Linked DNA regions of Sus scrofa. The protein of the gene in region 3 interacts with the protein of the main gene of each other region in a pairwise test. Links are inferred from orthologs where the notes say so. Each region holds a gene or a part of one and is shown on either strand. Other genes may lie near its edges. The genes, in order: ARNT, FGFR4 and MAP2K3.

The links.
Region 1: the proteins of MAP2K3 (region 3) and ARNT come close enough for resonance energy transfer, tested with the Homo sapiens proteins (2 studies listed by BioGRID). The link is inferred for Sus scrofa from reciprocal best matches to the Homo sapiens genes MAP2K3 and ARNT.
Region 2: the proteins of MAP2K3 (region 3) and FGFR4 come close enough for resonance energy transfer, tested with the Homo sapiens proteins (2 studies listed by BioGRID). The link is inferred for Sus scrofa from reciprocal best matches to the Homo sapiens genes MAP2K3 and FGFR4.

The regions. Positions count from the first base shown.
Region 1 is NC_010446.5:98,381,871-98,385,476, forward strand, and holds part of ARNT (aryl hydrocarbon receptor nuclear translocator), read left to right. Parts: intron 1-1,641; coding exon 1,642-1,752; intron 1,753-1,928; coding exon 1,929-2,001; intron 2,002-2,154; coding exon 2,155-2,278; intron 2,279-2,465; coding exon 2,466-2,568; intron 2,569-2,948; coding exon 2,949-3,096; intron 3,097-3,606. UniProt on the Homo sapiens protein: Required for activity of the AHR. Upon ligand binding, AHR translocates into the nucleus, where it heterodimerizes with ARNT and induces transcription by binding to xenobiotic response elements (XRE).
Region 2 is NC_010444.4:80,850,895-80,855,119, reverse strand, and holds the start of FGFR4 (fibroblast growth factor receptor 4), read left to right. Parts: upstream 1-1,328; 5' UTR 1,329-1,499; intron 1,500-4,225. UniProt on the Homo sapiens protein: Tyrosine-protein kinase that acts as a cell-surface receptor for fibroblast growth factors and plays a role in the regulation of cell proliferation, differentiation and migration, and in regulation of lipid metabolism, bile acid biosynthesis, glucose uptake, vitamin D metabolism and phosphate homeostasis.
Region 3 is NC_010454.4:61,395,186-61,399,242, reverse strand, and holds the start of MAP2K3 (dual specificity mitogen-activated protein kinase kinase 3), read right to left. Parts: upstream 2,875-4,057; 5' UTR 2,720-2,874; coding exon of another isoform or gene 2,671-2,719; intron 1-2,670. UniProt on the Homo sapiens protein: Dual specificity kinase. Is activated by cytokines and environmental stress in vivo. Catalyzes the concomitant phosphorylation of a threonine and a tyrosine residue in the MAP kinase p38.

The DNA.
Region 1 (3,606 bases), on a different chromosome or scaffold from region 3:
TGTTTGTTCAGTTGACCCGTGAACAACATGAGTTTGAACTGTGTGGGTCCACTTACACTCAGAATTTTTCAGTAGCAAATACTGCAGTGTACTACATGACCCGCATTTGGTTGAACTGTGTATACATGGATGGCCGACTGACTGTAAGTTATACTCAGATTTTTGACTCATCAGAAAATCAGCACCCCAATCCCTGCATTGTTCAAGGGTTAACTATATTTCATTTGTATGTTTCAAACCTTTTGCTTATCTATTTATCAGTTGATGGATATTGAGTTGTTTACACTTTGGGCTATTAAGAATGCTGCTGTGAACATTTGTTGACTAGTTTTTGTGTGGATATGTTTTTATTCTCGAGTATATACATAGGAGTAGAATAGTTGAATCACATAACTCTTATGTTTAATCTTTTGAGGAACTTCCAAACTGTTTTCCAAAGCTGCTATACCATTTTACATTCTTATCAGCAGTGTATGAGGGTTTCACTTCTCCACATTTTTACTGTCTTTTAAAAATTGTATCTGTCCTTGTAGGCGTCAGTTGTCAAGGTACTTCTTTTCTATTTAATCTGTTTAGAATTGGCCTTTAACCTATCTCTTGAAGATCTCATAAATAATTAGCCAGTGTGAAAATATCTGGTGACAACATTGAATCTGTATCCTCCAGTTCAACTTTTAGGGCTTGTAAAATTTAATTCTTTGCTAATTAACTCAGTGTATAACAGAGTGGATTGAATTAAAAATTTTCATTAACTGAGGACTCAAGTCATTGTAGTTTGTTTTTTTTTTTTTGTTTTTGCCTCTTTATATTGCAGAACAGTTGTTTTGTGTTTTTGTTTTGTTTAAATTGAAATGTTTAAGTGTTTTTAAATACTCGTCTCTGGAAATAATGGCTTTTCCCATTTTTACATACTACAGTTTTTCCTACCACAGTTAGTTTAATTCATTCTTAATGTTTTTTTTTGTAATATTCTTCATAGAAAATTTGCAAAGTATTAAAAACAATAAGGAAAAGGAAAAATTTTTTCACTGCACAGAAATAGTCTTTGTTAATTTTTAGTACTTTTTTTTTTTTGGTCTTTTTAGGGCTGTACCAACAGCATATGGAAGTTCCCAGGCTAGGGGTCTAATCGGAACTGTAACTGCCGGCCTACATCACAGCTACAGCAACGTGGGATCCGAGCTGTGTCTGCGACCTACACCACAGCTCACAGCAATGCCAGATCCTTAACCCACTGAGTGAGGCCAGGGATGGAACCCGCATCCTCATGCATTCTAGTCGGGTTTGTTACCGCTGAGCCACAATGGGAACTCCTGTACTTTGTTTTTTATTTACACTTTTAAAAAACACAGTGTATTGACATGCAACACACACATACACAGCAACTAGGTATTGAACACCTAAAAGGAATTAGAATCCAAAGAGGATGAACCTTGTGCCATGAAACATAGTTTCTGTTTGTACCACGTTGTCCATAGTGTGAATTATTTGTTGAATCTGAGGTTATAGGTTACTTATAGAATTGGATTGGAAAGGGGAATTTATCAGTAATTACCCACCTACAGGTGAATCTGTAGAGTTTTATGTGCAGAATCAGATACTTTTTGTTTTCTTTGTTTCCTCTACTCTTCATTTTCCCAGGAACTCCAGCCAGGAGCCACGGCCTACACTGTCCAACACAATTCAGAGGCCACAGCTAGGTCCCACAGCTAATTTATCCCTGGAGATGGGCTCAGGGCAGCTGGCACCCAGGTGAGAAATGGTGGGAAAATCATTTATTGAGCAGTGACTGGCCTGGGGGTTGGCAGTCTATGTTCTTTCTCATTTTTTATTTATTTCCTTGTTTGTTTTAAGCTCTTTCCCCAAAAATGTTTTTTTTTTTTTTTTTTTCCCCCCGATTTCTCTCTTCACTTGCCTTTAACATATAGGCAGCAGCAACAGCAAACGGAATTGGATGTGGTGCCAGGAAGAGATGGACTAGCTAGCTACAATCATTCCCAGGTTAGTATGTCTTCTTTGATGGATGGTGAGCATTTCCTTAACAGATGTCTGCCAGAGCCAATTAGAGTGTATGTGTGTCCTTATATGGATTTTAGGGTTATTGAATTGTCATGTTAAACCTTTCATTTTTATTTTTATCATTGTGTTCCACAGGTTTCTGTTCAGCCTGTGACAACCACAGGGCCAGAACACAGCAAGCCCCTTGAGAAGTCAGAGGGTCTATTTGCCCAGGATAGAGATCCAAGATTTTCAGAAATCTACTCCAATATCAATACAGGTATGTTTCTTCCTCATTCTCATTTTAAATTCTCATTTTGATCACTTACTGATGGGCCTGCAACTGCCCAATCAATAGTCTCCCAGCATATTTCCACTTAATTCTAATACCTCATAAATAGGAACTTGCTGAACTAATATACTACAGCCCCTTGACTGGCCCTCCCCCAACTCCTTTTGGTCCACAGATCAGAGTAAAGGCATCTCCTCCAGCACTGTCCCTGCCACCCAACAGCTATTCTCCCAGGGCAACACATTCCCTCCTACCCCCCGGCCGGCAGAGAATTTCAGGTGAGCCCCATATGTGTGTGCTGCTTTATAGGGCAATTGAGGGATTCAGTTACTGAATCCAAGTTTTTTTCTTCCCTAGCTTTCTCTGGTTATATCAGACAAAGCTGTGGAACTTGTAGGACTAGGATGAGACAAGTTTGCTTTTTGTCCCCCTTTTTCTTTGCACCTGTCCTGTTGCCATGTTCTAGGTTCCATTTCTGTGTATTCTGATCAGTGTGTGACCGTCAGTCTTTCTTGTCTTTTCCAGGTTGCGTTATCCAGTTTTCCTTAACCCCAGGGAGTCAAGGGAATCTAGGAATAGCTAGATTGTCCTGCAATTTCTGGATTTTATGATAAACCCATCTTTTTAATCCTTTACCTCACTATTTGTTCACTCCTAGAAATAGTGGTCTGGCCCCTCCTGTAACCATTGTCCAGCCTTCAGCTTCTGCAGGGCAGATGTTGGCCCAGATTTCCCGCCACTCCAATCCTACCCAGGGAGCAGCCCCAGCGTGGACCCCTAGCACCCGCCCAGGCTTCTCTGCCCAGGTAAACCTTTTCATTTATCTGTCCTTCGTGTATTTTGTTTGTTTGATTAGGTTTTTTTTGCACATGTGAAATTATTGTTGTCTGTTTTAGACACCTTCTCCCCACCCCATAGCCCCTACCTTCCAATTTTTATTTCTGTTGGGAGCAATTAGATAATTAAAAATAATCCAGATATCTCAAGAGTCTGTGGTTTTCACATTCACCTTAAATTAGAATTGCTCACAAACATATTGATTAGGTTTGAGTTCCGCATTTGTTTTGGAGTAAATCCTAAGAAATTTTAGACTTTGGTTGGGGCCACAAAATAGACCAGGGAGAAAATTAATTACTAATTTATATACAGTGATGTCTACGAAAAAAAATTGTTGAAAAATCTTCACAAAATGTATAATATTTAACATATGTTAAGGTTAAAGCTAATATCCTTTCGTATGTTGATATATACTTATATTGCATAGATTTTATAAATATATATATATATATATATTTTTTTTTTTTTTTGGTCTTTTT
Region 2 (4,225 bases), on a different chromosome or scaffold from region 3:
TTGGTGACAACTTCTTGAGGATGATACTGTCATTCTACCTGTTTTACTGATGAGGAAATCAAGACACAGGGATGGAGTAACTTGATAAGTCCATGTGTGAAGGTGCTGAGCTTTGAGTCCTGCAATTTTTGCTCTGAATTACTTCACTCCCTTCTCACTACCCATGCTCACAGGAGCAAAGACCTGGAAGAGGAACCTGACAAATTTAAAGGGTTTCTCTGAGGAAGTGAGATGAAACCTAAGAATGAGATGGAACTAACCAGATCTAGAGGGAAAGATCACTCCAGGAAGAGGAACTATATTTGCAAAGGCCCGGAGGTAGCGGTGGGAGCAAGGAGGAAGTGAATGAAGACTTTATCTGAAGATGTGGGTGGGCCAGGTCAGGCCAAGAATCTCTATAGGAAGTTCTTGGAAAGTTTTAAAGCGGTGGCTGTGGTTGATACAGTCGTATTTTCTTTTCTTTTCTTTTTCTTTTGTCTTTTTAGGGCTGCACCCACAGCATACGGAGGTTCCCAGGCTAGGTGTCAAATGGGAGCTACAGCAGCCACAGCAACCTGAGATCCTAGCCACATCTGCGACCTACACCAGAACTTGAGGCAACGCTAGATCCTTAACACACTGAGCAAGGGCAGCGATACAACTCCTGTCCTCATGGATATTAAGTCAGGTTACTGTTATGGCTGGGCTATAATAGGAACTCCCATATTTGTATTTTAAATATCACTCTGGGAGTTCTCTTGTGGCACAACGGGTTAAGGATCCTGCGTTGTCACTGCAGTGACTTGGGTCGCTGCTGTGGCATGGATTCGATCCCTGGACCAGGAATTTCCACAGGCCGGAGGCGGCCAAAAAGGAAAAAAAATCACTCTGAAAGTTGTTCAGAGAACGGATGGGGGTACAAGCTGGGTAGGTCTACTAGCTACTGTATGACAATTGCGCAGAAGACAAAGGAGCCAGACTAAGCCAGAGTCTACGGAAATGGCGGGTCAGGACTGCTGGGTCTTGTCCCCAGAGGGATGAAGTGCAGGAGGTGGAGCAATGGACTAGAACTTGGAAGCCTGGCCTGGGTGAGGCAAATAAAGGCAGAATCGGAAGGGATGTGCCAGCTAGGATTGCCCCCCCGCCCCCCCCGTTCCCCCGCCCCGTAGGCCGCGGGGCGCTGATGGGTTCGAGGACTGGTCTCCAGGTGGGCGGGACGCTATGCCACCCGCTGTCAGGAGCTGGTCCAGGAGGGGCCAGGCCCGAGATGGGCGGGGCACTGGGCTGTTCCCGGCCCAGTCTCTGTCAGGACAGAGCTGGTCCAGGAGGGGAGGAGCCCAAAGTAGGCGAAACTCGAGGTGGGCGGGGCGCTGGGCCGCCCCGCGGCCACGCCGCTGTCGCGGGTGCATTCCTGGCTCTCCCGCCCGGGGCTGAGCAGCTCCCGGGCTGAGCCTGCCATCCCCGCTGGGCGCAGGGGTCGGGGCTGGTGGAAGCTGGGAGCCGGGCTGCAGAGGACCCAGGTGAGTCGGAACCCTGTGCTGGAAGCGGGTCCACGGAGGTTCGAGGTGAGCCGGGACCAGGCTGCGCTCCCAGCCGCCAGGGGGCGAGCGGCGGCGGGACTGGGAGCTGACCCCTCCCAGCACTGAGGACCTAGGCGTCCGCTCAGCCGGTGGGGGGGCGGGGGGGGTTGATGGGGACGGTAAATCAGTAACCCGCAGCGCACACAGGGCCTTTTGTCCCGCTCTGTCCAAAGAGCACCCGGGCCGCGGAGCTGGTTACTCATTGCCCACCGGGGCGGGGGCGGGCCGGCTGTCTCTGCAGCTCTCCTTCAGGACCCGTGACTGGCATTTGCCCCCAGCGAGGCTGGGTTGGGGTGGAGGAGGAAGAGCGCCCTGGTCCCTCTGTCCCCGACCGTGTGCGGGCTCCGAGTAGAGATAAGGAGGCTGTGGCTCTGAGAGGTGCAGTCATTTGTCCAGGGTCCCCCAGCGCTTGGGTGCGAGAGGCTGGAGAACACAAGACTACTTGTGCCAGAGTCAGGCCCTTCGGCCCCACGTGCTGGGCCGTCGGTCAGCGGCCCCTTGTGACCCGACTAAGGTTCTGAGGTCAGGGTAGCCTGGGGGTGGGATAAAAATCCCTGGGCCTCCCACTCCACTCCCAACCTAGAGAGCCGCCCTTTCTGCAGAGCAGAGCAGGGTGAGGGGATTTCACAGAGGAAGGGCAATGGAAGCCAGTGATGGGCACAGAGATAGTGGAAATTGTGTCTTCTGAGCTATGTGGAAAAGAGAAATGGGGAGCATGGAGGTATAGGCAAGAGAGAAGACGTGCAGTTTTGAAAACTAATGGTTTAACAGTACTGAAGTAGCAGAATGTGCAGCCAAAGATAGGGACAAGGGCATGGAGGGAGGCCTAGGATGCTGGATAAACAGTGTGGACTGGGTCCTGCTGCACATAGACAGCCATTAAGGGCTTGTAAGCTGGGGTGGGACAGACTTTTTTTTTTTTTTTTAATCAGCTTGATGTGGGATCTCAGTTCCCAGACTAGGGATTGAACTCTGGACCACACTGGTGAAAAGCACAGAGTCCTAACCACTAGGACACCAGGGAACTTCCCAGACTTGTCATTTTTGAAGCCCTGCTGGAGAACCCAGAGAGATGTTTGCAAAGGTCCAAGCTAGAGATGACCGTGGCATGCTCTAGATTCAAGCAGGGGAAGAGGGATGGACTGGAGAGGCGTTTGGAAAGTGATGCCCCAGTTGGAGGCAACTCAGGGAAGGAGCAGTTTGAAGCGGGAGATAATAACTTTGGCCAGGACACACCGAGTGCCACTTGCCTCAGAAGCAGAGCTGAAGAGGGAAAAGAGGCTAAGTAGAGAGGGTGCGATGGGACTCCTGGGCAAGGTAGATCCAGAAACACCAGCACCACCTGTTACCCAGCCCCAAGTGATAGCTGGTAGGCCCCTGGAACTACACTGGTCACCCTCTTCCTTTGCCCTGGCTGAGGTTCGGTTTTGAGTGTTCCTCTTGGGGGATGGAGACATCCTTGGTAGCATTTGGAGGAGGGTAATTGGATGGGGTGTGTGTGTGTACATCACACTTGAGGTGAGTAGCACCACAGAGAGAGGTGACTTCCCTGGCCAAGGGCAGACCCAGGGTGACAATCATGGGGAGGCAGATGGAGAAGAGAACATTCCAACATTATGTGTGCCCACCTCCTACATACATTCTCTTTTATCCTCAAAGTAGTCCTGGGAGGAGAGTGGCCCAGAGAGGGACAGGGACTTGCAAGTTGGTAAGAGTCAGGATTTGATCCTGGCTCTGTCAGACACTAGAGTGTACATCCTTTACAAGAGCTTGTGTTGCCTCAGATGGAGTTGTGGAAGCACAGAAAACAGAAGTATCTCCAGAATGCAGTTTTGGTTCAGAGTGTGAAAGAACTTCTGAGAGTTCCCTGGTGGCTCAGAGGGTTAAGGATTCAGCATTGCTGCTGCTCTGGCTTAGCTTTGATCCCTGATCCGGAAACTTCTGCATGCCTTGCAGGAGAGAGGACTTCTTTTGTAGTTTAGTGGGTTAAGAACCCGACATATTGAGTGTCGGCAAGGATGCAGGTTTGATCCCTGGCCTTGCTTAGTAGATTAAGAGTCTGCTGTTGCCACAAGCTGCAGCATAGGTCACAGATGCAGCTCGGATCCGGTGTTGCTATGGCTGTGGCCCCTAGCCCTGGATTTAACCCCTAGCCCAGGAACTTTCATATGCCACAGGTGTGGCCTTAAAAGGGGCGGGGGGGAGGAGTTCCTGTCATGGCTCAGCGGTAACAAACCTGACTATAGTATGCAGGAGGACTTGGGTTTGATCCGTAACCTCACTCAGTGGGTTAAGGATCTGGCTTTGTTGTGAGCTGTGGTGTAGGCCTGCAGCTGTAGCTCTGATTCGACCCCTAGCCTGGGAATTTCCATATGCCATGGGTGTGGCCCTAAAAAGACAAAAAAAAAAAAGAGAGAGAGCTTCCACTTGCCATAAAACGTACTGCCTTGTTAGTAGTGAGTGCCCTGCCACTGGAGGTGTCCAAAGCTGGTCATGGAAATGTCAGCAATGCGCTAAAGAGTGGGGATCAGATCAGATAACATCCAGATGCTGATATTTGGCCTTGTATTATATTTCAGATTTTTTTTTTTTGGCTCTTCAGTAATAAATTCATTTATTCAGCAAAAAATAAATTATGTGTGCTGAGAGGGAGCAGAAGATATATC
Region 3 (4,057 bases):
CCAGGCTGTGCCAACCCAAAATGCCCCTGCCCTGACCCCGATCTAAGGTGGCATGTGGGCGAGGAGGCCCCGGGAAAACTGCAGGGCTGTGGGGCCTGGGGACTCGTCCTCTCCCAGGAAGCTCCCCAGGCCTGTGGCACAGAGGGCAGGGCAGGAAGCTCAGCGGTGACGCTCTCCAGGGTCAAGTGCTGACCACACCCTGCCTGGTCCAAATTCCTTGAGAAGGTGACAAGGAGGACAACACTGTGGCCTGTGCCCAGGGTGGGGAGGGCTCCGTCCAGCCACTCCTCCTGGCTGACCTCAGTTTTGTCACCTGTCAAATGGGTCAGACTGCAGGGAGCATGAAACATGCCAACTGTACAGAGCTGTGCACGCGGGAAGCATCTCATCTGCTCCGTCCACCCTCCAGGTCAGGCGTGGGCTGGAGGAGATGCCTCTGGACAGAGGTGTGATTGGGGGGGGGTCCCCCACCAGCTCAGCCCAAGCATCCGGCACAGAAATGGCACGCCCCCAGAGGAGCACTGCAGAGACACACTAGGTCCACTGCCAAAGCTGTGTGACCTCGGGCAAGGCACTGAGAGCCTCTGAGCCTCAGCTTCCCTGACGGCGAAGAGCACTGTGGACAACTGATGGCGCAGCACCTGGCTCATGGGAACGCGGGTGTGTGGGAGCTCTCGGGGCCTGGGTGAGCGGCACGGTGGCTTCCCCACTACATTTCGCCCCGGACCCCAAAGAGGCTGACGAGGTCCCTGGGCCTTGGGGAGGCCCGACCCTCCATCCAACCCACCCAACAGCATCTGTTACCTGGACTCCCACACTAAAATCCAGCCTGGTCCCCTCTCTGCAGAGGCTCAGAGAGGGCGGCACCTCAGCTCAGGTCACACAGCACGCGCGTCTGCCAAAAGTGCTTTATCCCTTCACACACACGAGCCCTCTCCCTCCGTAACTATGCAACCTGCAATTTTTACTTCGACGAGGGTTTCCCCACCTGGAAGGACCGTCACAAACAAACACGGCTTCCATCGTCTTCTCTCTGCCCCTGAAAGACACTGTGGCCCAGAGTGATGCGTGGACCTGCCCCGGATCTCACAGCCCTGGCCAGGCCAGGCCTCGACCTGGAGCTGGGGAAGAGAAGTGCCCGATTTCCCAGTTCCTGAGCTCCACGAGGTCTGCACAGGGCACATCCCTCCCCAGCCATCTCCCCCTCGAGTGCCTCCTGGGTTACTCACAGCGGTTGGGCAATGGTCAGGGATCCGGCCTCCCACTTAGGTAAGACGTAATTACCCTGCCCACCCGGCCGGCTGGGCTCCGGCCCACAGCCACCGCAGCCGCCAGGAGCAGGGGCAGGCAAGGACCCACACCCTCGCCAGGACCCCACAAGCCCTCCAGCTGCCTGCCCCCCACACACACACACCCAGAAAAAGAGAAGCAGGGACAACCCCTGATGCGGGCCGCTGAGCTCCAGCTGTTGCCTTTCTCCCCCTCACTCTGCAGCTACAATCCAAACAGAGGCAAAGCCTTGATCCCACATGGCTGAGGCCTTTCCAGCTAGAAAAACTGTGACCACGCGAGCCCTTCGCCTCATCACCCACACTGGCCTAAAACTCTTCAGGGTTCACCGTCTCATGCCCAGAGTCCACAGTCCACGGAAGCAGGTGTGATAAGGACACCGGGGCCCAGAGACGCTCCTGCCGCTGGGATGAGGCAGCAGGCTGGGGGGGCAGCCCATTCATCAGGGCTGTGTCCGGTTTGGAAACGTCTCACGCAGCCCAGCCCGCCAAGACTCCGACAGGCCAAAACATCCTTGCCTCTCCCTGCCAAAAAAATCCCCCTTTTGCCCTCCAAGTCTCGTCCTCCCCCTCTGCATGACAAATCCGGCCGCCGCAGCCGCCACCTCACAAAAATTTCCAGGAAGGCCGGCTACTTGGAGAAGACAAGAGCAAGCCCATTGCACAGCCAGCACCCGGCCTGGCAGTGGCCCAGGACCCACAGGCAGCGGGACAGACCTGGGACCAATCAACCCTGGAGACATGCGCAGGAGAGGGTGAGCTCCCTGGTGCAGAGGAGGCTGCAACTCGGGACAAGGCGAGCCCATGAGAGGGGGCTGTGCAGCAGAGCCAGGTGGGAGGCTCAGGGAGGTTCCCAGGGAGACAGGGCTGCAGGGCGGGATGCAGGCAGGCCAGGGAGCGCACAATGTGGAGCCTAGGAGGATGGAGCGCGGTGGGGGTTGGGGGGGAGACGGGGAGTTCTGAGCTGGAGCCTAGCCAGGGCACCCACACGGGAGATCCCCAGCAGGGGGCACCGCTGGGGCCCAGACGTGGAGCCAGTTAAATCCCAGCCTGGATGCAACCCCGGTATCCAGAAGTGGAAGCGGGCTGGGCGCGGGCTCAGAGTGACTCCCACCTCGGTCCAGCTGAGGGACCCGGATTGGGAGAGTTCCTGTCCAGGGTGCAGTTAAGGCCCAAACCGGGAGGTCAGATGGACGTTCCTGACCCGGAGCGGGGTGATCAGGACCAGACCCCCGCCTGAGTTTGGGCCTGGGTGCAGCCCCAAAGCCTAAAATGGGACCCAGTCGAGGTCCCAGGATGGGCGCGGGACCGAAGAGCGAGAGGTTCGAGGCCGGGCCAGAGGACCGCGCAAGACTCGCGTCTGCAGTCCAGGCGCTCCTACCTTTGGGCGGGGGCACGCCGGCGGGAGGACTCGCGGCGGGCGACTCCATGGTGCAGGCGGGTCGGGGCGGCAGCGGGATTAGTCCAGGGGGCGACGGGCTGGGCCCGAGCGGAACGCGCTCATGGCTGCGGGCGGGCGGCCCGGGCGGCGGCCAGGGCGGCGGCGAGGACGCGACCGCGGCAGGCGGCGGCGGGGCCAGACTGGGCAGCGCGACTGGGGCCCCGGCCGGACGGCGCCGACGCAAGCCCCGCCCCGCACCCCCATTGGTCCTCCGGTCTCCGGGGCCCGGCCCCTGCCTATCAAACGCGGGCCCGGGGCTGCCCGTCAAGCTCAAGCCTCGCCCTCCGTTGGCCGGGGATGTGGCTCCTCCCACCGCCTGTCAAGCCCGCCTGCCACCTGGAAACCAGTCAGGCTCCGCACCCCCGCCGACCAGGCGCAAGCCCCGCCCACCCGGACTCGAGCCCCGCAGTGTGCGCAGCGACCGGGTGTCCCCGGCGGCCTGGCGGAGGCCCTGGGGAGCAGGAAGGCGGGTGCCGCCGGTGGGCTCGAAGTGCGCCCCGGGGGTGAAGCTGGGGTCAGATCCCGATTCGACTACTTCATAGCGGGGCTGACCTGGGCAAGTCAGGCCACCCGAGCCTGTTTTCGCGTCCCCGCCTCCCGGCGCTGCTGGTGGGAAGAGACCCTGGCTTCCACCGACACGCAAGAGGTGTTTGTTGACTGAATGCCCGGCGTGCGCATGTTTATTCCGTATTCAGCAACGGCTGGGGACACAAAGGCCGGCTTGGTGGTACCTGGGGAGAAGTCAGCAAACGTCGGTAGCTCTGAGGGCTGTGTCCCCTGCCCCCGCCCGGTTCTACACGTGCGGAAACAGCCTTAGCGAGTAAGACGGCATCTCAAAGCATTTCAGCCAAGGTCTAGTCCTGGCTCTCTCCCACGCCCTTGATTCCGTCCCTCCTCCTCTCGAGGCCTCAGTCTGCTCATCTGTATAATGTCCAGTCGGGCCGGTGCCCTTTCTGCTCCCACGTGGGAGCTTGGGATTTCAGGAGCCACTGACCAAGCTGGCAAACTGGGACCAGGACTTGGATAGCCGGCCTGGCAAAGGTCACAGGGTCAGCCCCTGGCTTCAGGCAGGTATGAGCGTGTGACCTGCCAGGCATCTCACGTGAGGGAAGCAGATTCCACCACCTGCTAGAAAGGCGTGGAGCCTTCCTGCTTTTAAGACAGAGGTGACCCTCGGGGCCCACCCACACAGTCAGATGAGATAAGGGGAGGCCTACTAATTATCATTATTTCCTCCTGTGTCTCTGGCTCATCTTTCCCGGCAGTGGGCAGAAAGGCATGAGCTATGGACTCCTCAGGCTACGGGTTCAAATGCCAACACTGCTGC